3 linked regions of the Cricetulus griseus genome follow. The protein of the gene in region 2 purifies or fractionates together with the protein of the main gene of each other region. This does not show direct contact. Links are inferred from orthologs where the notes say so. Each region holds a gene or a part of one and is shown on either strand. Other genes may lie near its edges.

The links. Proteins that work in one complex are often made in the same cells at the same time.
Region 1: the proteins of Kat8 (region 2) and PHD finger protein 20-like protein 1 purify together in Homo sapiens (affinity purification with mass spectrometry; 3 studies listed by BioGRID and IntAct, with this or other methods). This does not show direct contact. The link is inferred for Cricetulus griseus from reciprocal best matches to the Homo sapiens genes KAT8 and PHF20L1.
Region 3: the proteins of Kat8 (region 2) and KAT8 regulatory NSL complex subunit 1 purify together in Homo sapiens (affinity purification with western blotting; 4 studies listed by BioGRID and IntAct, with this or other methods). This does not show direct contact. The link is inferred for Cricetulus griseus from reciprocal best matches to the Homo sapiens genes KAT8 and KANSL1.

Annotation. Positions count from the first base shown.
Region 1 is NC_048603.1:22,017,420-22,025,169, forward strand, and holds the start of PHD finger protein 20-like protein 1, read right to left. Parts: upstream 4,529-7,750; 5' UTR 4,343-4,528; intron 2,123-4,342; 5' UTR 2,086-2,122; coding exon 2,003-2,085; intron 1-2,002.
Region 2 is NC_048596.1:72,862,326-72,870,073, forward strand, and holds the start of Kat8 (histone acetyltransferase KAT8), read right to left. Parts: upstream 5,107-7,748; 5' UTR 5,075-5,106; coding exon 4,864-5,074; intron 3,317-4,863; coding exon 3,242-3,316; intron 3,167-3,241; coding exon 2,991-3,166; intron 1-2,990.
Region 3 is NC_048600.1:117,491,920-117,499,890, forward strand, and holds the start of KAT8 regulatory NSL complex subunit 1, read right to left. Parts: upstream 4,529-7,971; 5' UTR 4,413-4,528; intron 1-4,412. UniProt on the Homo sapiens protein: Non-catalytic component of the NSL histone acetyltransferase complex, a multiprotein complex that mediates histone H4 acetylation at 'Lys-5'- and 'Lys-8' (H4K5ac and H4K8ac) at transcription start sites and promotes transcription initiation.

The DNA of each region.
Region 1 (7,750 bases), on a different chromosome or scaffold from region 2:
ATCTTAAGAAAGTTACTTGAATTACCAGAGTGAGTAGGCATGTACCTGTGTACACACACCCAATAATAGTCTGAAAGGTTTTTTAAAGAGCCACATCAAGAACAGTGTTTATATAAATGAGCTTACAGAAGTTAAACTCAAGGCAAATGGGGTGTTGGCCAACATTTGTCAATGAGACTATTATCACTGAGCTTACTAGAATACAGGTAGACATTACCCCAGTTAGCACGAACCTCTTGTTGAGAAGCTACAACTCTGACTTATTTTCAGGAATGCTACTCGGAAGCATAGGACCCTGAACAAGGATTTCTCTAAAAAATATTTTTTTTAATTTAATTACCAAATCGAAATTTCACAGCCACTCAATCAGACTAAATTTCCCAACCAAAAGTAAACTTCTTATACAACAAAGGCCAAAGTTATGTTGTGTCCCTAAAAACTACTGCATGAACTAATAAACTATGTGTTTCTTCAAAGCTAGAAGCTAGCTCAATGGCACTTTGTTGACTGAGAGGCCTATGCGAATATATAAACATTAAATATTCCTAAAAGCAGTAACAAAAAAATGTAAAGTTTCACATAGCTCATAAAGTCTCAATAGCATGCCTCTGCAGTAAATCCATGCTGGCTAAACCACAACCAAGAGTGCCAATATTGCAAAATGGCATCTTCTGCTGCATGGTGCAAAGGAACTACTTTGTAACCGGGAATATTTCAACATGGTCACCAACACACCCTTGCTGACATTTGCAAAAAACCGGAGACTGTTTCTTAGTCACCCTTGCTATGATGAAGCCTGTTTCTCAGCTGCTTCCCAATTTCAAAGAAATACTCTGTATATTTCCTGCCTGGTAAGAAGGAAACACACCGTATACTATCTATCTGGTAAGAAGCAGGTACCTTATAAGAACTAGCCACGGGATAGCTGGGGTTAAGAGGCAAAATAATTGTCACTCAACCTCAAGTTCCAAACTGTCCTAAAGACGAGCCCCAAAATGAGGCCATTAAGCCAGTGAATAAAGACATGCTGAGGTCTAAGCCTAGATGTTAGCAAACAAAAGTCGAGGGCCAGTCTCAAGTCAATACTATGACTAAACAAGATTTCTGTCTGCCACTGCAAATTTGGTAAGCTGACTGAAGGCAAAACGATCATGGCTTTAATGGAGATACAGTGTGTGGTGAATACAGTCCTGAGAGTCCTGAGGCAGCTAAGCTACAAGGCCCTGCTCCACAACAAATGAGTGTTGGGCGAAGGGAGCTTAGGTAGCACCGATGCCAGGCAGAAACTACTCAGGCCCCTGACTGCCAGTAAGAGAACATTTGCCTAGAAGGCAGGCAGAGTGATGAGCCACTAATGAGAATGAGCAACTCACTCCCTCATTCTTATTCCTCTGTGGGCCAGTGGGCCCTGTGTGCTGTTTCCCTCCTCTCCCAGCCACAAAGATATCACACTAGCACGCCACCCTTTCCTACTACACCTGTGAAGCGTCTCGCATAGGTGTTTGTACTGACCACCTGCCACAGATGCCCAAAACCAGAGGAAAACGTGCAGTTCTGGAGTTTGCCCTTCTAGTCCAACATGCATGAGGTTCTGCTCTAAGCAAGGAAGAGGTCAGATGTGGTTTGGGCTTTCTGTGGGACAGTGAAGGATGGACAGGGACACTATGAGAGCAAGAGTCCCAACCACTGACAGGACCTGATAAACAGGAAGCTGATTGTCTGAATTAACCATCCCTTCCCTCCCTCCAAATAGCTGTTAGTTACTCAAGACTACTATCCTCTCTCTTTGCCTCACACTCTAGGAAAATACTTCCAAACCACACATACCTAAAGTGCTGTACTAAACAATCTGTGAAGCTTATAAAGGCTAAACCTAAGCCCAGTGTGCACATGTACTCCAGGGACAGCTGCACTTGTGTGACTGACATGTAGTTAGGATAGCCACTGGCTTACTAAGGCTACAGGTTTGGTGATTTTGGTCAAAGTTCTGTATTTTCCATACCATTTCTGTAAGTAGTCCAGTGCCTCCAAACGAGCACCAATCTCAAAAGTGATTCCAGGACGATTTGGGGGCTTTTTACTCATCTTGAGATCCTATTCTTCAGTATTTTCTTTCCACTACCTCAAGAGGAAAAAAGAAAGTTAGATTCTAACACATAAAATGCACAGGGAATATGACTTACAGGAACAGACAGAACTTAGCTAACTTTCAAAGTAACACATGGGAAATTACAATACTTTTTCTAATTAGAGGATTACCAGTACCTGTAGGTAGCATGCAACAGGAAGGTAACCTTAGTAAAGCAAGATTAGTAAATGGAATACAGAAAGGAAAACTAGCTGAAAAAGAAGGGACAAGCGATCAGTACTTATGAATAGCTAAAATGCCTTAAACCTTAACTCAAACATACCCAAGAAAGTTCTACCCAAGGAAGATTGAAAATGCTGTTTTTAAAAATTAAGACAATCCTGCTTACTGAAATCCTTGAGGGATTAATGGTTTTTCACTTAATTTCAAGAAATCTTTTTGGTACATCTAAATGTACATCCCTTTATAAAACACTAAAATTAAGGAGGAAGCAGTAGACATGCCGTCGTGTGCCACCAAGGCCACCAACCAATGTCCCTGTAAGATCAGGATGCACTGCTGCTTGACAGTTTTAACAGAGCTGCAGAGGACTCTTTCCCTCAATTCCACCTTTAATGATCAATAATGTCGGGGTCTGACTTTGAGTGTAGTTTCTATGGTAAACTCAACATAGTGCCCACAATCAAAATAAACAAGTTTCTCATAAGAAAAACCTGCAGAGGATCACTGTGTAGATCATTCACCGGTCAAGAATTTACTGTTCTTTAAGCCACACGGGTCTCCTAGCACACTTGAGGCCTTTTTCACTACTAAGTGTTTGAGGGAAATGAATACATTCTCAAGAGTATCGATACTGGAATGAAAATATAATTGGTATGCTAAGTCTTATCAAAATGCAATTGGTAATCGGGAATACAAAGCAGTTATTGATGGAGGAAGATGGTTTAAAACATGCTTTACACAATACTGAGTAGGCTCCCTCCAGCCTAAAATAATACAAAACATCACACAAAAACAGAAACTTTAAAAAATAAACCTCATACAACTGCAATTTTTTTTTAAAATAATGATTTGGTTACTGTTTAAAACAGGCAAAATACAATGGCAAACAAATGTGCCTTCCTTTCTTTTTTAATATCTGAAAAGGCAAGGCAGAAATAGCATCAATGCTCGCCACAAAAAAAATCTGGGGGCCCAAGTTGACAAGCCCGTGGCTAAGGGGCTGGCTTTAGAATACTCTGGCATGACATAGGTGAGGTTAAGATTGGTAGCCAGGGTGCGCTGGGTGTAATGGGAACAAACAAACATTTTACATAGAGATTTTCTAAGTGTGCAACATACAAACTTCCAGCCTGTAAATCGAATCCCCCAAGTGACTCTCAGGAATGAGGCACCGCAAAGGGCACAGGGGGAATCCCATTGTCTTGTGGGGGACGGGGAGGTGGCGGGCTTGGGGACACGGGTGCGGGGTGAAGGTGGCATCTAAACTGACAACTTTTAGAAAAGACGTTCTACTGGAAAGATCCTTAAACACAAAGAGAGGGGGAGAGAGAGAGGAGAGGGAGGGAGAGAGGGAAAGAGAAAGGGAAGGAGAGAGAGGGAAGGAAGGAGGGAGAGAGGAGACAGAGGAGAGAGAGAGGGAAGGAGGGAGGGAGAGAGGAGACAGAGAAGAGAGGGAAGGAGGGAGGGAGAGAGAAGAGAGGGGGAAGGAGGGAGGGAGAGGGAAGAGAGATACAGAGACAGAGAGAGAAGGGCAGGGGAAACAAAAAAAAAAGGTATGAAGAGAGAGGGGAAAGCGGTAACAAAAAATAAAATAAAAAAAGAACTGCGCTCAAGTTAGCGGAGATGACAGTGAGAGGAAAGAGACAGACACACACACACAGGGCGAGCGGGCAAGCCGGCGGGCGAGCCGGTGAGGGAAAGACCGCGAAGCTGAGCAGAGGCGGGGAGGCAGGCGGGCGGGCGGGCGGGGAGGGGGGGACGCGCGGGCGAGGGCGGCAGGGGAGCCGGGAAAGGCCGCGGGCGAGCGGCGCGGCTGGCCCGGAGCCCGGGGAGGGAGCTGCGGGTTGACAGCCGAGCGAGCCAGCGAGCCAGCGAGCCCAGCGAGCGCCCGCGGGGGAAGGAAGGCGGGGACCGCAGCGGCGGCGGCGGCGGCCGCGCGCAGACAATGGGGGCCGAAGCCAGCGAGCAGCCAGCGAGCCGCGACCCGGGGCCCCTCCCGGCCCCGCCGCCGCCGCCGCCGCCCCCTCTTACCGCCTCGGCCTCCTCTGCGCGCAGCAGCCGGGCGTCCGGGGCGCCTCAAGGCGGCCAGCGCGGGCCTCGCAGCGGGCCGGGACGGAGCAGGAGCAGGAGCCGGGCCCGCGGCGCCGCGCCGGCCCGAGGGACGCGGGGAGGGAGCCGGGTCCGAGCCCTCAAGCCCGCTCGGGGCCGCTGCCATCGCCGCCGCCGCCGCCGCCGCCGCCACAGCCGCCACCGCCCGCCGCCACCGCCACTGCCGCCGGCCCTGACGCGACGCCGGCCGCCGACGTCAGCCGCCCGCGACGACGCAGCGGAAGCGGGCTGGGCTTTGTCACGTGGCGGGCGAGGGCCGGGCTCGCGCGGCGCCGCCGATTGGAGGACGGCTCCTGGGGGCGGGGCCTCGGCGCAGGTTCGCCCGGCGCAGACGATTAGAGGGCGGTTCCAGGGGCGGGGCGTAAGCCCACGGGCTCGCAGGGAGGGCGGTTCTAGGGGGCGGGGCTTCGGCCCCCCCAGGCTAGTGCGGCGCAGACGATTGGAGGGCGGTTCTAGGGGCGGGGCTTCGACCCCCTCCGGGCTCGCGCGGCGCAGACGATTGGAGGGCGGTTCCAAGGGCGGGGTTTCGTCCTCCTAGGCTCGCGCGGCGCAGACGATTGGAGGGCGGTTCTGGGGGCGGGGCTTCGGCCCTGAGCCTGGGCTCCCGGGGCGAGAAGCAGGGACTTGAGCTGGTTTCCAGGCGACCCCAGGGGCTGACACCCTGGGCAGACGTAAATGCACCACCGAGTCCATTCCAGCCCCGCAGGAACGACGGGCACAATGATCTCTCTTGCACAATCAGGAAAGCGTAATAATCGCAGCCGCACAACTGCACTGCTCTCCAACCTCCGAAGTTCTTACTAAAGGACTAACAGCAGGCATCCCTACGAAGTGGAGCCTGTGACTACAGTGATGTGACTTCCACAAGTCTGCACGACTAATGATATAGGGGCTGCGTTTACATGCCCCGGAGTGTGCAGTAAGCACGAGAGTCCCTGCCCCAGCTTTGGGAAAACTTAAAAGTGATCACAGACAAAATACTACTGACAGGAAGCATCTGTTTTGTTTTGTTTCTCTCTCTCTCTCTCTCTTCCACTCTATCGCTCTGCCTCCCACGTTTTTAAAGTGCATCTTCGCATACAAATGACGCTTATATTTATCTTGCTTCGTCGCGTACTGAGAAAATAGCCAAGTGACTCTAAGTTTCAATGATGGTGAGATTTTTGTAACTGAAGCAAACATTCACGTTTAACGTTTTATTCAAAAGGCATTCATTCAAAAATGTGTTTCTAGTGGCTGCAGGGTTGCACTGAGCTTGGTGATGCTGCAAACACCGTAAATAAAGACAGTTGTTAATGATATTTGTCATCTTGTTTTTCTTTTCAGTGTCTGAGAATTTCCTCCATAGCTGTCATTAGTCCAGTGCGTTAAATATTTCTATACTCTTTCTTCTGCCACAAGCAGATTTTATACTTTCCGCTTTTCTTAGTAATATGCTTGCTTGTTCATTTAATTTGATGTAAAATTAAATTGCAAGTAGAATTCGTCACAGGGAATGGCAATGTATGATGCCAGTTCAACAAATTCCCTGTGCCTCAAACTGTGGCTTTCGATGTTTGCAACAACTGGTGACCTTGATACATCAGGATGAGCACAGTAATTACATATCAACAACAAGCATGCAATTATGAACAATACTTAATTTAAACAATAAAATGTACACTGTTGAGAAGTAAAAGGTATATATTTATAAATCAGGATCATTTGTTACAAAATCGAACCTTCCAAATCATAAGGAATCTTGGAGGAAGAATCAGCCGCTCACTAAATGGGATGTCAACATTAGACTCTAATGAGCTTAGCCTCACTTGGGGCAAAAAGGTCTGGCTTTAACTGCTAAGTAAACTGAATTTCTTTAAGAATTTGTATGCAATGATGATAACAGTGTTCAAAATAAGGAAACATTTTCGACACCACAACAGTAATAGTATCAATAATCTTTCCTATGCCTGAATCTTCCTGAAGTCTGGAGGAAACCACACTGATCTACAAGCCAGTATATATATATGTGTGTGTGTGTGTGTGTGTGTGTGTGTGTGTGTGTGTGTGTGTGTTAGAATACATAACATATTTTCTTTACTATGTTGAGTGTCTACCAACCCATTTCCCCAAAAAAGAATAATGATTCCTCTATTTCAACTAGAACATAGATACAGAGTCCCTCCAATAATACATATTAGAATAAAAATAGGAATGACCTCCTACTTACACTCAATCAAGTAACCCTTAGCAAACTCGGTGAGCAGCACACAAAATGGAGATGTAAAAGTAACATGGAGACTTGCTGAGAAGAGTTCCAGTGAGAGAGGGGGTGGGGGAGGGGATTTGGGTGTGAAAATGACTAAAATGTATGATCGAAGTGTATGAAACTGTCAAAAATAGAAAATGTTTTTTTTTTTAATGGGACTGAGGTCTAATGTACATTAGTGGCTTGAGTGATGCATGGTCCTGTGGAGTTAATGCCCCCCCACTTCAGATTACATGTTGGAAAAGGGATTGTCATAGTTACTTGTTACTAAATTGCTATAGGAAATCTCTACAACTCAACAAGAAGGCATCAGGTCTGCAAAAAACAAAACAAAACAAAACAAAGCCTGAAATGCACAATGCAGCTCTTTACCTTGTAGAATTACCCCCAAGTCATGCATGACCTTTGAATGTCCATCCATGTACTCATAAATAGAAAACACTTGTTTAAAATTGTGTGTGCCTAAAACTGAGTCTCATGTGTAAACTCAAAGTGAGATTGGTGGGGGGGGGGCTTTAAGGGCTGTTCAACTTCCAGAGGATGCAGCCACTATGTTACAAAGGAATTTGTGCACTGTTTTATAAACTTTGACAGGAGGCACAGCTAGAACAACTCCTGTATCCATATGTATTTGTTCCTGTTAGAGTCAAGAGGAATAAAATTGAGATGCAAACACTTGAGTACTACACTGTTTCTTTTTGTGAATCGGCGTGGAATATATTATATTGAGCTAATTTATTGTACATTATTTCCACAACTCTTGAGCTTTTTGTTATCATTGTGTCATTGTCTTAGTTTGGGGTTGATTGCTATGAAGAGACACCATAACCACAGCAACTCTTATAAAGGAAACCATTTAATGGGCATGGTTTACAGTCCAGAGATTTAGTCCATTATTGTCATGACATGGACATGGTGCTAGAAAGGTAGGCTGAGAGATTTTTATACAAATTGGCAGAGGGAAGAGAGCCACTGGGGCTGGGCATTGGTGGCTCACGCCTTTAATCCCAGCACTCGGGAGGCCGAGGCAGGTGGATCTCTGTGAATTTTGAACCAGCCTGATCGACAAGAGCTAGTTCCAG
Region 2 (7,748 bases):
GCTTTGGTGCCTATCCTAGCACTCACTCTGGAGACCAGGCTGGCCTCGAACTCACAGCAATCCGCCTGCCTCTGCTTCCCGAGTGCTGGGATTAAAGGCGTGCGCCACCAACGCACGGTTTAACTGCATTTCTCAATATTCACAAAGCACAATTCTTTTCTGCAAATACATGAAAGAATTACAGAACCACTATTTTTCTTAAATGTGATTTATTTAGAATTAAACACTAATTAGAACAGGGCATGGTGGGACACACCTGTATCCCAGCACTTCAGAGGTGGAGGCAGGGAAAGTCACTTCAACGTCATCCTTGGTTATATAGCAAGTTTGAGGCCATGTCTCAAAAAACAACCCAACCAACCAACAAGGAAAAGTCCCCAAATAATTAGGAAGATTCTGAAGCACCTTGCTGACAGTTTTATCACTCATCCATCACTATTCAGCCCACCCACTGGAGGACAGCCTTTTAAACCTGTGCTGTCCAAGCGCTATTTGAACTCAAATTCATGACAACTAAACAAGAAAACTCTACAGCGCTGTTACACAGAGAAAACCTGTTTCAAAAAACATCCCCTTCCCCCCAAAAAAGAGTTCTACTCAAACTGGACATATACAAACTAGTACTGCAGAGAGCCACAGGTGACTAGAGGAGCCACAGTATTTGCTAGCAACAGCCCATAAAATAGTTATAACAGTTCAACTAGATAGTACTACCCTAGACCTGGAGAGTCTTCTAGCTTAGGACACTGAAAACATTTCCTACTAAAACATAGCTGGGACTGTACACAGTTGAAATGTCTGTGTATATGTACATGCATAGATTATTAAGTCAAACAAAACTATATCAAAACAATACTTACCACTAAGAAAATGTAAAACACCCATATTGTCTACATTATCCTATTTCTCTCTTTCATTAAAAATTTTTTTAAAGGGATGGAGAAATAAATGGTTTAGAGGTTAGGAGTATTTGCTGCTCTTGCAGAAGACCTGGGTTTGGTTCCCAGCACCCACAAGGTGGCTCACAGCCATTTGTAACTGCAATTCCAGGGAATCCAATACTCACTTCTGAACTCTGTGGGCACCAGACATACATGTGGTACACATGCAGGGAACATTCATACATAAACCTAAAAAGCCTTTACAAAATGTAAATATTATACATACCACACAAAAACAAGTTCACAACCTATTAATACAGTGTCTACAGTGAGAAAAGCACGCTGCACTGTATTCCCCTAGAGCTCAGATGAGCAGAACTACAACACTGAGGCTCTTGGCTGCTGTAATGCCTTAGTGTGGAAATCAATGTAAGACTGTAAGTCTGCTCCCTCTTCTGAATTATTCAGAAAAATATAACTTTTCCTTTTCTTTCTTTCTTCTCTATTTCCTCTAAGCATACTTTCCTTAACACTTTGGGCTTTCCCCAACATTTTGGCTTCCTTACTCCTCTAAAATGCTGATTCCTTCCATGTGGTTGACTATCTACCATATATCTGATCTCCATGCCATTTTAAATGACATGATACTTTTCCTAAAGTTTACACCCTGCTTGCCTTGGGGCTTTTCTTTTAAACTCTAATAAAATTGTCAAACTTCTAAAACAGAAAGAAAGAAATGGAGGTTCAGAGTAGGAGGAACATAATCACCAAGAACAGTCAAGGCCAGTCTGAGCTACATAGTCATAAGACACCAGACAGCCAGGCACTATGACTCACTCATGTAAGCCTAGCACTCAAGGCTTAAAAGTAGGCACAGGGGAACCAGAAGTTTAAGATCATCCTTGACTATGTAGGAAGTCTGAGGCCAGCCTGGCTACATGAGACAGTCTCAAAAGAACAAAATGGGCCACTGAGATGGCTAAGTGGGTACTGTTATGTGCAGTGTAAGCCTAGAGACCTAAGCTTGCTGTTATGTGCAGTGTAAGCCTAGAGACCTAAGCACGATCCCTGGAACCTACTTCACAAAGTTACTCTCTAGCCTCCACATTCTCAAACCATGGCACACATAACCCCCCCAAACAATAAATATTTTTTGAAATATATATATTATTATTATAATATATATATACATATATATATATATAAAATTTTATTTTTTAAAGAAGAACCCTGGTTTGGGTACATTTGTAGAATGTATCAAAACCATGATTAGGGTCTGGCCCCTAAGATGATGTACTTCCTAATGAGATTTCTTTTCTTTTTTTTTTTTTTTAAGATTTATTTAGTTTTTTATGTACATTAGGGTTCTATCTGCATGTATGTATGTGTGAGGATGCCAGATCCCCTGGAACTGGAGTTACAGACAGTTGTGAACTGCTATGTGGGTGCTGGGAGTTGAACCCAGGTCCTCTGGAAGAGCAGCCAGTGCTCTTAACAGCTGAGCCATCTCTCCTGTCCCCTAATGAGATTTCTAAACCTACCAGTGCTCCCTCTGTAAACTGAGAATAATGCTCAGCAAAAGGCCACTCTGAAATATCAGAGCAAGGAAGGAATGAAGTATATTTAACCTAATATTTAGGCTCACAAACCATTAATGTGTGTCATAACTCCTGCCCACCTTTTAACCAGCTGTTTAACTTTAACATGCTAACTTCTCTGAGCCTACTTCCTCATGTACAAAAAGAACAAAATTTTCCCTGTGGTGATGGACTATTGGAGAGGATTTGATGAGTTTTTACAGCACTCAGCATGGTGCTGGATAACCAAGTAACCAATATAATTTTGTTTTCTTTTCCTTCCTTTGGAACTTCAAGTTCCAGAGTTCCAGCCCTAACTGTACCATTTCCTTGCTGCAAAACAGCAAGTCTCTTCTGTCTATAAGTTGAGATTTTTTACATCTGAAGAATAAATGAGAGATAAAATCCCTAGCACACTACAAGATTTCAAATGAGAGGAGTTATGGTTTTGTTACTGGGGCCCAAGAGGCCGACTGGGCTTGGCAGAAGCAGCAGGGCCTCCTGAGTCCTAGAGAAGGGAAAGGGCCAGGACCTTCTGTACGTGGTTGATCTCATCATGCTTTCGTTTTTGGTTTCGAGTGATCTTGCGCTCAGGCTGCTCCGCCAGCTCACTCAGGTATTTCTCAGAGTTCTTTTGCACGGCATCCTTCACTGTCTTGGTCAGTGCTAGTCGGTTCTTGTCCACCCATTCGTCCAGTCGCCTGTTGACTGTTAAGATGGACCATGAGGAACTGACCTGCTACCTCTTCCTTCCACCCAGGCCCAATGGCCCCAAACACTCACAGCCTACATAGTGTACATAGAATTCTTCTCGGCCCTCCTGGTCATTCACTCTAGACTGGATCACTTCTGCTGAATCTGTAAAGAAAAAAAAGGGGTCAGATGCACTGAGGGATGATTTCCAAATCCTTGTGTCCACATCCAATATTGTACTTATTTACCCTGTAAGGTGAGTTAGGTTAGGACTTTAGTTGGGTGGGTGGGTTGGGGGGGGGATGCTGACAGAGAGCTAGAGATTTGAAAACTGAGAAAACCTGGTATTTAAGTATGCTTAAGTCTAGCTCCAAATTCAGTGATCATTTTATTCATTCATTTATTTGGGGGACATGGGAGCTAGCTAGGGATTAAGACAGTTTAAGCTTCTATATAATTAATTCTTCCTTCAATTTCCTAAATGAATGTAACTAACTGACCACATTATTTTGACTTTCTGAATCTTAGTTCCTTCATCTAGAAAGTAAAAAAAAAGGCTTAAAATTCTTTAGCACAATGACAGATTCCTAGCAAATTTGTCTAGACACTAAAGCTTGTCTGGCCTTCTGCTGTTATTGCTGGACACAGAAAGCAGATACAGCAATGAATCACAAGAGAACTTGCTCTCTAGAGGTTTCCCATTTTACACAGAGCAGATAATTTTAACATGTTACATATATTATGGCTGAGGTCTGAAAAAAAATATTACCAAACATACAAGCAATTAACTTTGCCTGAAAGGGTCAAGAATGGGATCACCATGGAAGACAAAGTTAGGAGATGAGTTAAGAGCTAGCTAGGCAAACATGAGAAAAGTTAATGCATTCCAAGAAGAAGGCACAGTCACTGGAGGGCAGAGCAAGGCCTGGTCTTTACTGGGAGTGCTTAGTTTCTAAAACTGGAGTAGACATGAATGCTACTTTTGAGTTTTGTTTTTGAGACAGGGTTTCTCTATGTAGTCCTGGCTCTCCTGGAACTTGCTATGCAAGCTAGGCAGGTCTTGAACTAACAGATATGCCTTCCCAGTGCTGGGATTAAAGTGTGCTTTGCCATGCCCGACGTTTATTCTAGTTTTAAAATTACATTTATCTATTAGGGGGAGTGGTTGTAGGTGAAACCAGAGGGCAACCGGTGAGATCACTGTCTCTTTCTGCCATATGGGTCCTGAGGACAGAACTCAGATCCTCACGATTGGTGGCAAACACCTTTATCTGCTGAGCCATCTTAGCTTGGGGTTTATTTTGAAGAGGGAAGGAAATGGAACATACGTAAAAGGAAAACGTGTTTTTATGAACTGGGCGTCCTCTTTGCTGACGATGAAGGGGGCGAGAGAAATGTAAAGACAGACAAAAACCAAACAAAAAAACACCAGTGACGGAACAGAGCAGCAGAAATGAAGCTTGAAATCAGGCAGGAATGGGTGTTCACACGCTTACAATGTGATCACCTTACTGGTGGCTTCACAAGAGAAAACAAGCATAAAGCCCGACTGCAGTCTCCCACGAGAGAGCTGGCTTCTGCGTCCTTACCTTACCTGGGTCACCACCCTCACCCCAGGACTCCCAGCCCCAAACTCCGCCCCCTGGAGCAGCCATTCGTAAGCCCTGCCCCATCCCTAAGCCCCGCCTCCAGGCCCTGGACCCCGCCCTCACGCCAGGTGCTATCGGGCCGCCGGCACAGGTACGTTTCTCCGATTTCCACGGTGACTTCTGGTTCGCCACGCGCCGGGGTCGGCGGAGAGACGCGGCCCGGAGACCCGGCAGGCCCCTCGACTGCCGCATTTTCCCCGGGCCCGGGCTCGCCCTCCCCCACAATTCCCGAAGTCGTTGCAGCAACTGCGGCTGTTGCTCCCTGTGCCGCCATTGCGGTACCGGAAGTGGTGCCGGTGACCTTAGAGACGGCCGCTTTTAATTCCGGGTCAGCGGGGGATGGGGCGGAGTCTCAGCGTTTAGGGGGTAGGAGACTGTGATGTGGCGTTTGTTTCGTGGTGGGCGCCCCGTAGGGCTGCTGGTGGTTACGCTGTGGAAACACGTCCAGCCTGAGTTTTTCCGCTCTCTTTCTTTGAGACGGTTTCATGATATACTCCTGACTGATTTAAAGACGCGCCACCACGCCCGGGGTTTCTGTTGTTTAGTTTTTTGAGACAGGGTTTCTCTGTGTAGCCCTGGCGTTCCTGGAATTAGCTCTTGTAGACCTGGCTGGCCTCGAACTCACAGAGACCCGCCTGCCTCTGCCTCTGCTGGTATCAAGGGCGTGCGCCCCCCGTGTGTTATACTTGCTGACCTCTCTCCTCTCACCTTAGGTTCCCAAGAGCTGGGATTGAACACTAGCACCACTTTCCCATTTTTTGAGAAAGGCATTTTCACTGGCTGGTCTCAAACTCATTGAATTAGTGACCGTTATCTGGGGATTACTGTTGTGTTCCATTATATTGGAGTATGAAACCCAGGTCTTCATGCATGCTACTCACCCCATAGTTGCCTCACTTGTTCAGGGTGGGAGTTAAAAACAATTGAGACAGGGAAAGAACAGATGTGTCAAATAAGTACCTTCAGAATAAGCTTTTTTTTTTTTTTGAGACAGGGTTTCTCTGTGTAACGGCCCTAACTGTCCTGGAACTAGCTCTATAGAGCAGGCTGGCCTCAAACTCAGAGATCCACCTGCCTCCGCCTCCCGAATGCTGGAATTAAAGGTGTGAGCCACCGCCAGCCCCCCCCCCTTTTTTTTTAAAGAATCACTTGTCCCAACAGGGCTCAAACCTGTAATGTTGCCAGAGGTAACCTTGAGTTCTCATCACCTCCCAAATGTTGAGGTTAGGATGTGTTACCATACCAGGTTCATGCACTACTAGGGATTGTACCTAAGGCTTCATCAATGCTAGACAAACACTACCAGTGAACTACATCTCCAACCAGAATGACACCTCTTAAAGGTGGGGGGCTGGGGGGACGGCTGAGCAGAGACACAAAGAGCTATTTGGGCAGTGGCTAAAGAATCTTGAGTAGCGACTGTTTCTGAGTAGTGTACCAAATTCATTGAGATTCTGTAAAGATTAAACCATATGTACATATGGTCAAGTCATAAAATTATATAAACCATATAACAAAATTCAATTTAAACTTCTTATTTGGTAGATGAAGTAGAGCAACACACATCTAATTTGCTTTGCCTATTCACCTTTTATCCCCCACAAAGATCAGGTAAGGTGTGTTTTCTGTCATTACTGTGTTGGGGCAACTAACGATTAATAGCCTGCCCAATGCATATTTTAGGAACTGTGCCATAGGCAAACTAGTAGATGAAAAGAATAACCATTTGTTATATAGGAACTTATTTCCTGAGCTTTGCAGAACTGAGAAATATGTAGTGATTAGGAATGGGTGTGCATCTGTGAGTTATGTTGTATTTAACTCTGAAGCGGTGTTACTTTGCCCAGCTAAAACACTTGATTGGTCTTAGGAAGAGCTGAACGGCCAATAGCTAGGCAGGAGGAAGGATAGGTGGGGCTGGCATGCAGAGAGAATAAATAGGAAGAGAGGATCAAAAAAAGGACAACGGGCCAGCCACCCAGAAGGAAAGAACTATATAGAGAGCAAAGAAAGGTAAAAAAGCTCAGAGGCAAAATGTAGTTAAAGAGAAATGGGATAATTTAATTAGAATAGCTGGCTAGAAACAAGCCAAGGTAAGGCCAGAAATCCATAAGAATAAGTCTCCCTGTATTTATTTGTTAGCTGGGTGGCAGGCTCCCAAAGAGTTATAAAACAAAAAACCAACTACACACCCCTTTTCAGGATTGTTATTGCATTTACTCAGACTTCTGTTACCTCACTTCATCTTCACCTGACATCTTCAGTTACAGGTAAAGGCCTTCCTAAGTAAAGATTAACCTAAGCATAGTAAATCCATTGATCAGATGTGAGCACACGTACTCCTGTGCTGCCTGCACGTCATCCATGGTTCTAACATGCAAATCCAAGTTTTCTTCCTAGAACTGTATGGGGACTGCACACAGACCACCCCTGTTATGTGTATGAGTATGGGCATACAAGCATGCAAGTCAGAGGACTTTTCAAGGTTCAGTTTGTCTTCTGCCATGAGTTCCAAGGGCACAACTCAGTGGCAAGTGCTTTTCCCTGCTGAACCATCTCACCAGGTTCTTTCTGCTGCAGCAATCTGTGTCGTTTCTCTGTGTGTCACAGCTATGTACTTTCAAAGACTAGAACATGAGACTTTTCTTTGACAACTGCCTAAGGGATTTGGTGAGACAGGGTTTTGCCAAGCAGTCCAGACTGACCTTGAACTCTTTATCCTCCTGTGTTTTACCCCAAGGGCCAGGATCTCAGGTGTGTGTCACATTTGATTCTGCCAGAAAAGGCTAAAGAGTTTTGTTTTTGTTTTGAGACAGGGTTTCTCTGTGTAACAGCCCTGGCTGTCCTGGAACTCACTTTGTAGACCAGGCTGGCCTCAAACTGCAGAGATCTGATTGCCTCCCGAGTGCTGGGATTAAAGGCATGGGTCACCACCTCAGGCTAAGAGT
Region 3 (7,971 bases), on a different chromosome or scaffold from region 2:
AAAAACAAAAAAGAATTTAAAAAGAAAAAAAAAATTAACATCCCAAAGCAACATATGTTCTAAATTACTAGACCATTTTCAGGTCATCACTTTAGCCACTGTTCAAAAACCTGCCTCCCTCTCTTCCAACAAAGGAAGATGTAAGGAATTACCTGTTAGTTTCCACTTAGTTTTGAATTCTGTTTTCAAATATTTGGATTTGATTCAAACAAAAAGTATAAAAAGCCAGTTATAGTGGATCATGCCTTTAATCCCAGCACTCAGGGAGCAGAGGCAAGCTTATCTCTCTCAATTCAAGGCCAGCCTAGTCTTTATGAGGAGTTTCAAAACAGCCAAGGTAACAGTGAGAACTTGTTTCAAATTAAATTTTTTTTTTTTTTTTTTTTTTGTTTTTGTTTTGTTTTTCGAGACAGGGTTTCTCTGTGTAGCTTTGGAGCCTATTCTGGCACTTGCTCTGGAGACCAGGCTGGCCTCGAACTCACAGAGATCCACCTGCCTCTGCCTCCCGAGAGCTGGCATTAAAGGCATGCACCACCAATGCCCGGCTCAAATTAAAAAATTTTTAAAAAGCAAGCAAGAGGGTTCAGCAGGGAAAGACTCTTGCCATTCAAGCCTGATATCCTGAGTTCAATTCCTAGAAAACACATAAAGGCACAAGGACAGAGCAAACTCCTCAAAGATAAAGGCACAGCAAGCCAAGTCTGCCAACCTGAGTTTGATCCTCAGGACCCAAATGGCAGAAGGAAAACTGTAAGCTACATATATATACACACACAGACACACTCAGAAATAAGTAAACATGAAAAAAATAAATTAGGCCAGGTGTAGCAGTACACACCTTTAATCCCAACACTCAGGATTCAGAGGCAAGTAAATCTCTGAGTTTGAGGCCAGTCTAGTCTACATAGTGAGTTCTAGGTTAGCCAGGGCTACCTATATAAAGATACCATATCCCATAAAAAAACAAAGTAAAATAAATAATTTAACTAGGGACCAGCAAGACAGCTCAGCATGTAAAGATGATTATTTGGGGGATAGAAAGATGGCTCAATGGTTAGAGCACTGGCCACCCTTCCAGAAGACCTGGGTTCATTTCCTGGCACCCACACTGTGGCTCAGAATTCCACACATATACATGGAGGCAAAACACCGACACATATAAAACAAAATAATAATTTTTAAATGAAAAAAAAAACAAAAAACAAAATGGGCTGGATAGATGGCTCAGAGGTTAAGAGCACTGGCTGCTCTTCCAGAGGTCCTGAGTTCAATTCCCAGCAACCACATGGTGGCTCACAACCATCGTTATGAGATCTGGTGCCCTCTTCTGGTGTGCAGATATACATGGAAGCAGAATGTTGTATACATAATAAATAAATAAAATCTTAAAAAAAAAAAAAAAAAAAAAAAAAAAAAACCTGCTGCTAGGCCTAATGACTTGAGGTTGATCCTGGAAACCTACTTGGTGAAAGGAGAGGCCCAACTCCCACAAGCTGTCCTCTGTCCTCCACCCAGCACCTGCACTATGGCCCATATGTGTGCACACATGTACATCTGTGCAAGCACAAATAAATATAAAATTTTAAACTAAATTAGAATAAAATAAGGTATCTGAAAACAAGCCAAAGAAATACAGAAATTTTAGGGGCTGAGGCTAATGTTCAGCAATATAATGCTTATCTAGGATCTCCAGCATCATATAAAAAAAGAAACATGAACATTTGCCATGATGTATACACTTTAATTAAAGTCTCATTTCTTTTTATTTAAAAATATAACTTGGTGGTGGTGTGGCAGTGCATGCTTTTAATCCTAGCACTTGGGAGGCAGAGGCAGACAGTTCTCTGTGAGTTTGAGGCCAGCCTGATCTACAGAGATCCAGGACAGTCAAGGCTACACAGAGAAACCCTGTTTCAAAAACAAAAACAAAGGGCTAGAGACATAGCTCAGTGGTTATGAGCACTGGCTACTCTTCCAGAGGACCTACCACATGGCAGTTCACACCTGTCTGTAACTCCTGTCTGTAACTCCTGTTCTAGGGGATCTGACACCTTCACACAGACATACATGCAGGCAAAACGCCAACATACATAAAATACAAGTAAAAAATTTAATTAATAAAATAAAAAAAACTCTAATTTGAAAATATAGAAAAAAACGTACTGTTTCTGCCAATTTAAACGTATTTTGAAATGTTAAGTATAAAAAATGGGAGGAAGGGGCTGGAGAGATGGCTCAGCGGTCAAAGGCACTGACTACTCTTCGAGAGGACCGGAGTTCAAATCCCAGAACCCCTATGCACTTCAACGCTGTTTGTAACTCCCAAGATCTGTCACTCCCACACAGGCATACCTGCAGGCAAAGCACCAATGCATATAAAAAGTAAATACATTAAAAAAAAAAAAAACTGATTTCTAAAAAAAAAAAAATAAAGGTAGAAAATGTGAAGAAAAAAAAAAAACTGTTTATGGCTTATGCCTGAAATCTCAGCACTTGGGAGGCAGAGTCATTAGAGTACTAGGCCAGTCTAGACCATATAGCAAGATTCTATCTCAAAACAACAAAGCTTAAACTTAGCACAGTTTTACACCGATCAAAGGATTGGTAGGAAACATAAAACTAAGGCAGCCACATAATTACATTCTCGAGTAGTTAAGAGATAATAATTCATACTTACTATAGGACACTGACTGTATTTCCGACAAGTCAAAGGACTCTGGTAATTCCCCAGGTTTACCATTAGAGGTAAAACCTTAAACACTTCACACATCTTTAAAAAGTAGGCCTCAATATATTTAATACCTTAAAACCAAGGAAGCTGAAACATGAAATCTAATATACTGGTCATAGAAGTCAGCAAGTCCTGATGGCTCAGCAGTTAAGAATACTAACTAATAGGACCCAGGGTTCAATCCCAGCACCCACATGGCAGCTTACCACTGTCTGTCAACTCCAGTTCCAGGAGTTCTGACACTGTGACACAGATATACATGCAGGCAAAAAACCAACACACATAAATAAAAATAAATGTATTTTTTTAAAAAAGGAAATGAAAACACAATTATACAAGGTCCTCCAGTTCCTAGGCAATCGATTCTTCAGACTGTTTCCCCATTCAATCCCTCCAGCTGTACCATGGGGAAAAGACTGCAAAGAATGAGTCACTTTGGACCCCTTTATATTAATATATGCACTCATCCAACAAGAGCAGCCAGAACAAAAGTGAGGATAAGATCCAGTCTACATTACCTAAAGATTTCCCAAAAGTCCAAATATTTAGGTTACACAGACTGCATTATTCTGATTTACCCACTATACTATTCTGGAATTACATGGAGCAGATCAAAACAATCTTAACTATATCATTATCTAACTCTCAAGGAAGGCGAGGCTGACAGAGGACTTCTAGCACTACTTATCAGTTCTTGGTCCTCCCTCTCACTTCCTCACTTTCAAGCCTTAAGCTCAGTCTTCTGCTTAGCCCTAACCAAGAGTTCTTCTGCCATCTCCGAACAGATCAGAAAGAACCATAAGAGACAAATGGTCACTGTCCCACATTGCCCTTGAAATGAAAGGACACAATGGCTACCTGTTGAAAAAAATTAGTGTAAGGGTTCATGAACTGGCCTAAGGAGCAGCAGATGAAGAGTTGTACACATAAACCTTAATATACTATATGAAACTTCAGAGTAAACAAATGGTTAATGACACATCTTTTGTAACACATGAATCAGCTCTGATTTGCAAAAGTGGGACACACCCAAGTTCATATGACTCTAAAGTAAGTACCTGTTTGAAAATGGACCTCAAAGTCTGAATTGCCAACCCCATAAGCCAGGTTTGGAACAGAATTTTACTAGTATGCAAGCTGTAATAATTTAAGGTTTAAAAAAAAAAAAAAAAAAATGAACTCTGGGGCTGGAGAGATGGCTCAGTGGTTAAGAGCTCTGGCTACTCTTCCAGAGGACCCAGGTTCAATTCCCAGCACCCACATGGTAGCTCACAACTGTCTGTAACTCCAGTTCCAGATACCTCCACACCAATGCACATAAAATAAAGTTAAATAAATTATTTTAAAAAATGAACTCATCATTATAATAAAAGTTAATTTGAGAACTTCATTAATATTTTAACACCAATCAAGAACAGCAATAATACAAATCCTAAGAAGCTAATAGTCCTCAGGATAAGTATCCTGTAAGGTAATTGAAGAGTTGTAAATTCAAGAACATCCTAGCATTTGGAATGTTGAGACAGGAAGTTCATGAAGTTAAAGGCATGCTTAGCAATCTAAAAAGTTCAAGGCAGCCTGGGCTACCATGAGACCCTGTCTCAAAACACAAATAGCAAACAAATATTCTTGGTTCTAAAACACTCATATGAAGTAATAAGGAAAAACCAATACATCTTACCTTAAGAGGCATCCAAATAGCATTCATAGTGTCAGGAATAGTTCAGATGAGCCTCAGAAAGAAGCAGGGAGAGACTAAGAAATCCCCTCAGTTACCACGGATAAAAGTGGCAAGATCTGAAAAGGAGGATGTTTCATTTAGATGACAATAATCTAGAATATGCAAATAGCTTATTCTATCTGGGAAGGATGCTAAGTGCCAACTGCCTTACCATCCTAGAAAGTGTGCAGGTGTGGCACACACTTTTAATCCCAGCACTCAGAGGAGGCTGAGGCAGGCTGTCATCTAGGAGTTCAACACTGGCCTGGTATACTTAGTGAGTTCAGGGTCAGGCAAGGCTACTTGTTGAGATGGTATCAAACACAAAAACAACAACAAAAGGTACAATATACAATTCTCTTTGGAAAGGGAATTTCACATGTATATTTTACATCAGAGACCATAAATTTTAAATAATCAAAAATTACTTATTAAAGATTCAGAAAACCAAAATCCAGGAGGAAAAGTTATTCTCCCATTCTCCCAGAGTATTATTTCATAAGCACTACTGAAAGTGATTTATTAACTCGTCACCGGAAAAAAAAAGTCTACAGCTACTTTTATTTAATAAATGTAAACCTCTCTGGCAACTCCAATGTCCTAACTTTTCTTAAAATTAAGTTTCAGCCGGGCGTTGGTGGTGCACGCCTTTAATCCCAGCACTGAGGAGGCAGAGGCAGGCGGATCTCTGTGAGTTCGAGACCAGCCTGGTCTACAAGAGCTACAAGTTTCAGGACAGGATCCAAAGCCACAGAGAAACCCTGTCTCAAAAAACCAAAATAAATAAATAAATAAATAAATAAATAAATAAATAAATAAAGTTTCAGAGCTGATTCTACATCATCATCATTATAATAATTGTTGCTATTCTTCACTGAAGTACTACAAGTTAAAAAAAAAAAATGGAGGGGGGGAGAAAAGATCCTTCTTTCCCAGAGATCTTTAAAAGCAGCCCAGAGGAATTAATTTTGAAGATGGTGGGTGCTAAGTGTGTAGGGACGCAAAAGGATGGACTAAATGACCCCTTCCTTGTAGGAGCCTTAAGTCCTAGGCCTGAATGAACATTCCAGCTTAACCAGTTACTGCTTCACTTAAAATGGAGGCTTGCCCGCGTAGGAACACAAAAATAACACACTCACCTCTTTAAAAAAATAATTTCTTAAATTCAGAGTCGAGGTCCCCCGTTTTAAAAATAAAATAAAGCACTGGGGTGGGTTTGCTCTGTCTCCGCGTTTGTCACTTCGGTTAGGGAGACTTGGCATCACTTTGCCTACCGCTCACCGGATTTGGGGGGTGGGGACCGGAGGAGTTTGACTCTTGACCCGACTCGCAGGCGAGCCTGAGCGCCCCTCCCCACCCCCGCCCCCACCCGCGAGGCGACGCGACGCGACCCCCAGGTTCCACAGAACCTCGGGGCCGAGATCCAGAGAGCGCCAGTCCCGCCCCTCCCCCGCCTCCGACCCTCGTCCGGGAGCTCCCCCACCCCCTGCGGCCCGCGACTCCTCCGGCCCGGTCCCATTGTTAGGAGGGGCGGCCGGGGCCGGGGCTCGCGGCCGGAGCCCGTGGCCGTTGCCCGACTTGCCTCAGGAGGGGGCGGCCCGCGGGATGCCGCTTCCGTCCTGCCCGCCGCGGTCCGTCCCACCTCGCTCGGCCTGGGCCCCGGGACACCGCTCGCGCCCCCGCTCCGGCCCGCTGGCCTCCCGTCTCCCGGTCCGCCGCGGCCCATGGCCCGAGGCCCAGGCCTGGCGGTGGGCGCCGGGCCGGGGTCCCGCGCCCCACACGCGTCCCTGCGTCCTCAGCCCGGCCGCCTTCAGGGCCCTCGGCGGCGCCCGCTCCCGCGACCCCTCAGCCTCCCTCCGCCCGCGGCGGCGCCCCCCGCGACGTCCCCGGACGGGACGCCCCACTCTGCGCCACCATCACCCCGACCCGCCGCGCCCCCACCCCGGGGCAGTAGTGCCAACGGCAGCTCCCCGGCCCCGGACCTACCTGCACGGCTCAACCAAGCTAGAGTGGGGGGGGCGGGCAAGCTTTCGCCCTCCTGTGTCTCTCATTGGCCCGTCCGAGGCAATTCGCGAGCGTCATTGGCTGCGAGTTGACGTCCGTCAGAGCTGTGGGGCGGGACGGTGTAGGGGGGGGGAGAGATGCTGGTGCCTCGGCGTCTCTGTCTCTGTATCTCTCCTGTCTCTGTCTCGGCCCTAGGAAAGGAGAGGCTTGAGCTGGACCGAATTGGAAGGGGGCCTAGTGGGAAAAATAAAAATAGGAAACCCTACAGTGCTTCACAGCAGTCCACCACTCAACCCCTGGCCACAGTCCCTCAGGTCCTCTTCTCTGTCACCCCCAACCCCTGCCCCTCACCCTTCCAGGTTCTTCATCCAGGAAGCGATGTGATGAAAACCGGGCCCGGAAGGCCATAGGGAGAGAGATTTTGTGTATGTACATTAAATATACACATATGATTGCTAATTTATGAAGTCAATCAGATTTGAGGTCATGAGGGCCTGGAAAGGCCACACATCTCACAGACCAGGAAGGAATTGAGAGAGCTGATAGTCAAAAATCACTCTCAGAGGTGGGAACAGTGGTTACCTCCTGGGATGAAATGGATTGCCCAGCAGACCAAGGGAGTGAAAGACTTAATCTCAGGCACATCCTTTGTAGATACTGATTTTCATACCATTCATAAACATTTCATATATATATATAATATATATATATATATATAATATATATATTAGCCAAGCGTGATGGCCTACGCCTGTGATTCTAGCACAAGAGACCAAGGTAGAAGAGTAATAAGTTCAAGAGCCAGCTTGGGCTAACAAAGTGAGTATTAATTTTTTTTTTAATCTTTAAATCAGGTCACAAAATTAGAAACAAACCACACGAACACGGCCCATGGAATCAACTAACCGGGGCTCCTAGAGACTCAGAGAGATAAAACCGACATTCAGGGACCCTGTAGATGCTACCTAAGACCTCTGCATACACGTATGGTTGTGTAGCTTGTTGTTCTCGTGGGACTCCTAACAGAGGCAGAGGGGGCTGCTTTCCTCCAACTGCCTCGTCCAGTCTTGATTTTAGGGCATGTGCCTAGGCTTATTGTAACTTGTTATGCCATGTTTGGTTGATATCCCTGTGAGGCCTGCTCTTTTTTGAAGGGAAAAATAAGAGGAATAAATCTGAGGGAGAGGGGAAGTGGAAGAGGTGGACACGGAGGAGAGAATGGGAGTGGAAGCTGGGATGTAATATGAGAGAAGAATAAATTAAAAAAAAAAAAAAGAGCCGGACGTTGGTGGCGCACGCCTTTGATCCCAGCACTCGGGAGGCAGAGGCAGGCAGATCTCTGAGTTCGAGGCCAGCCTGGTCTACAGCCAGGACAGCTTCCAAAGCTACAGAGAGAAACCCTGTCTCCAAAAAAAAAAAAAAAAAAGAAAGAAAGAAAAAAAAAAAAGAAAAGAAAATCAGGACAATATCCAGATTTAGTGGGGAATCTTACTTTTTATTTTTTTTTTTTGTTCAG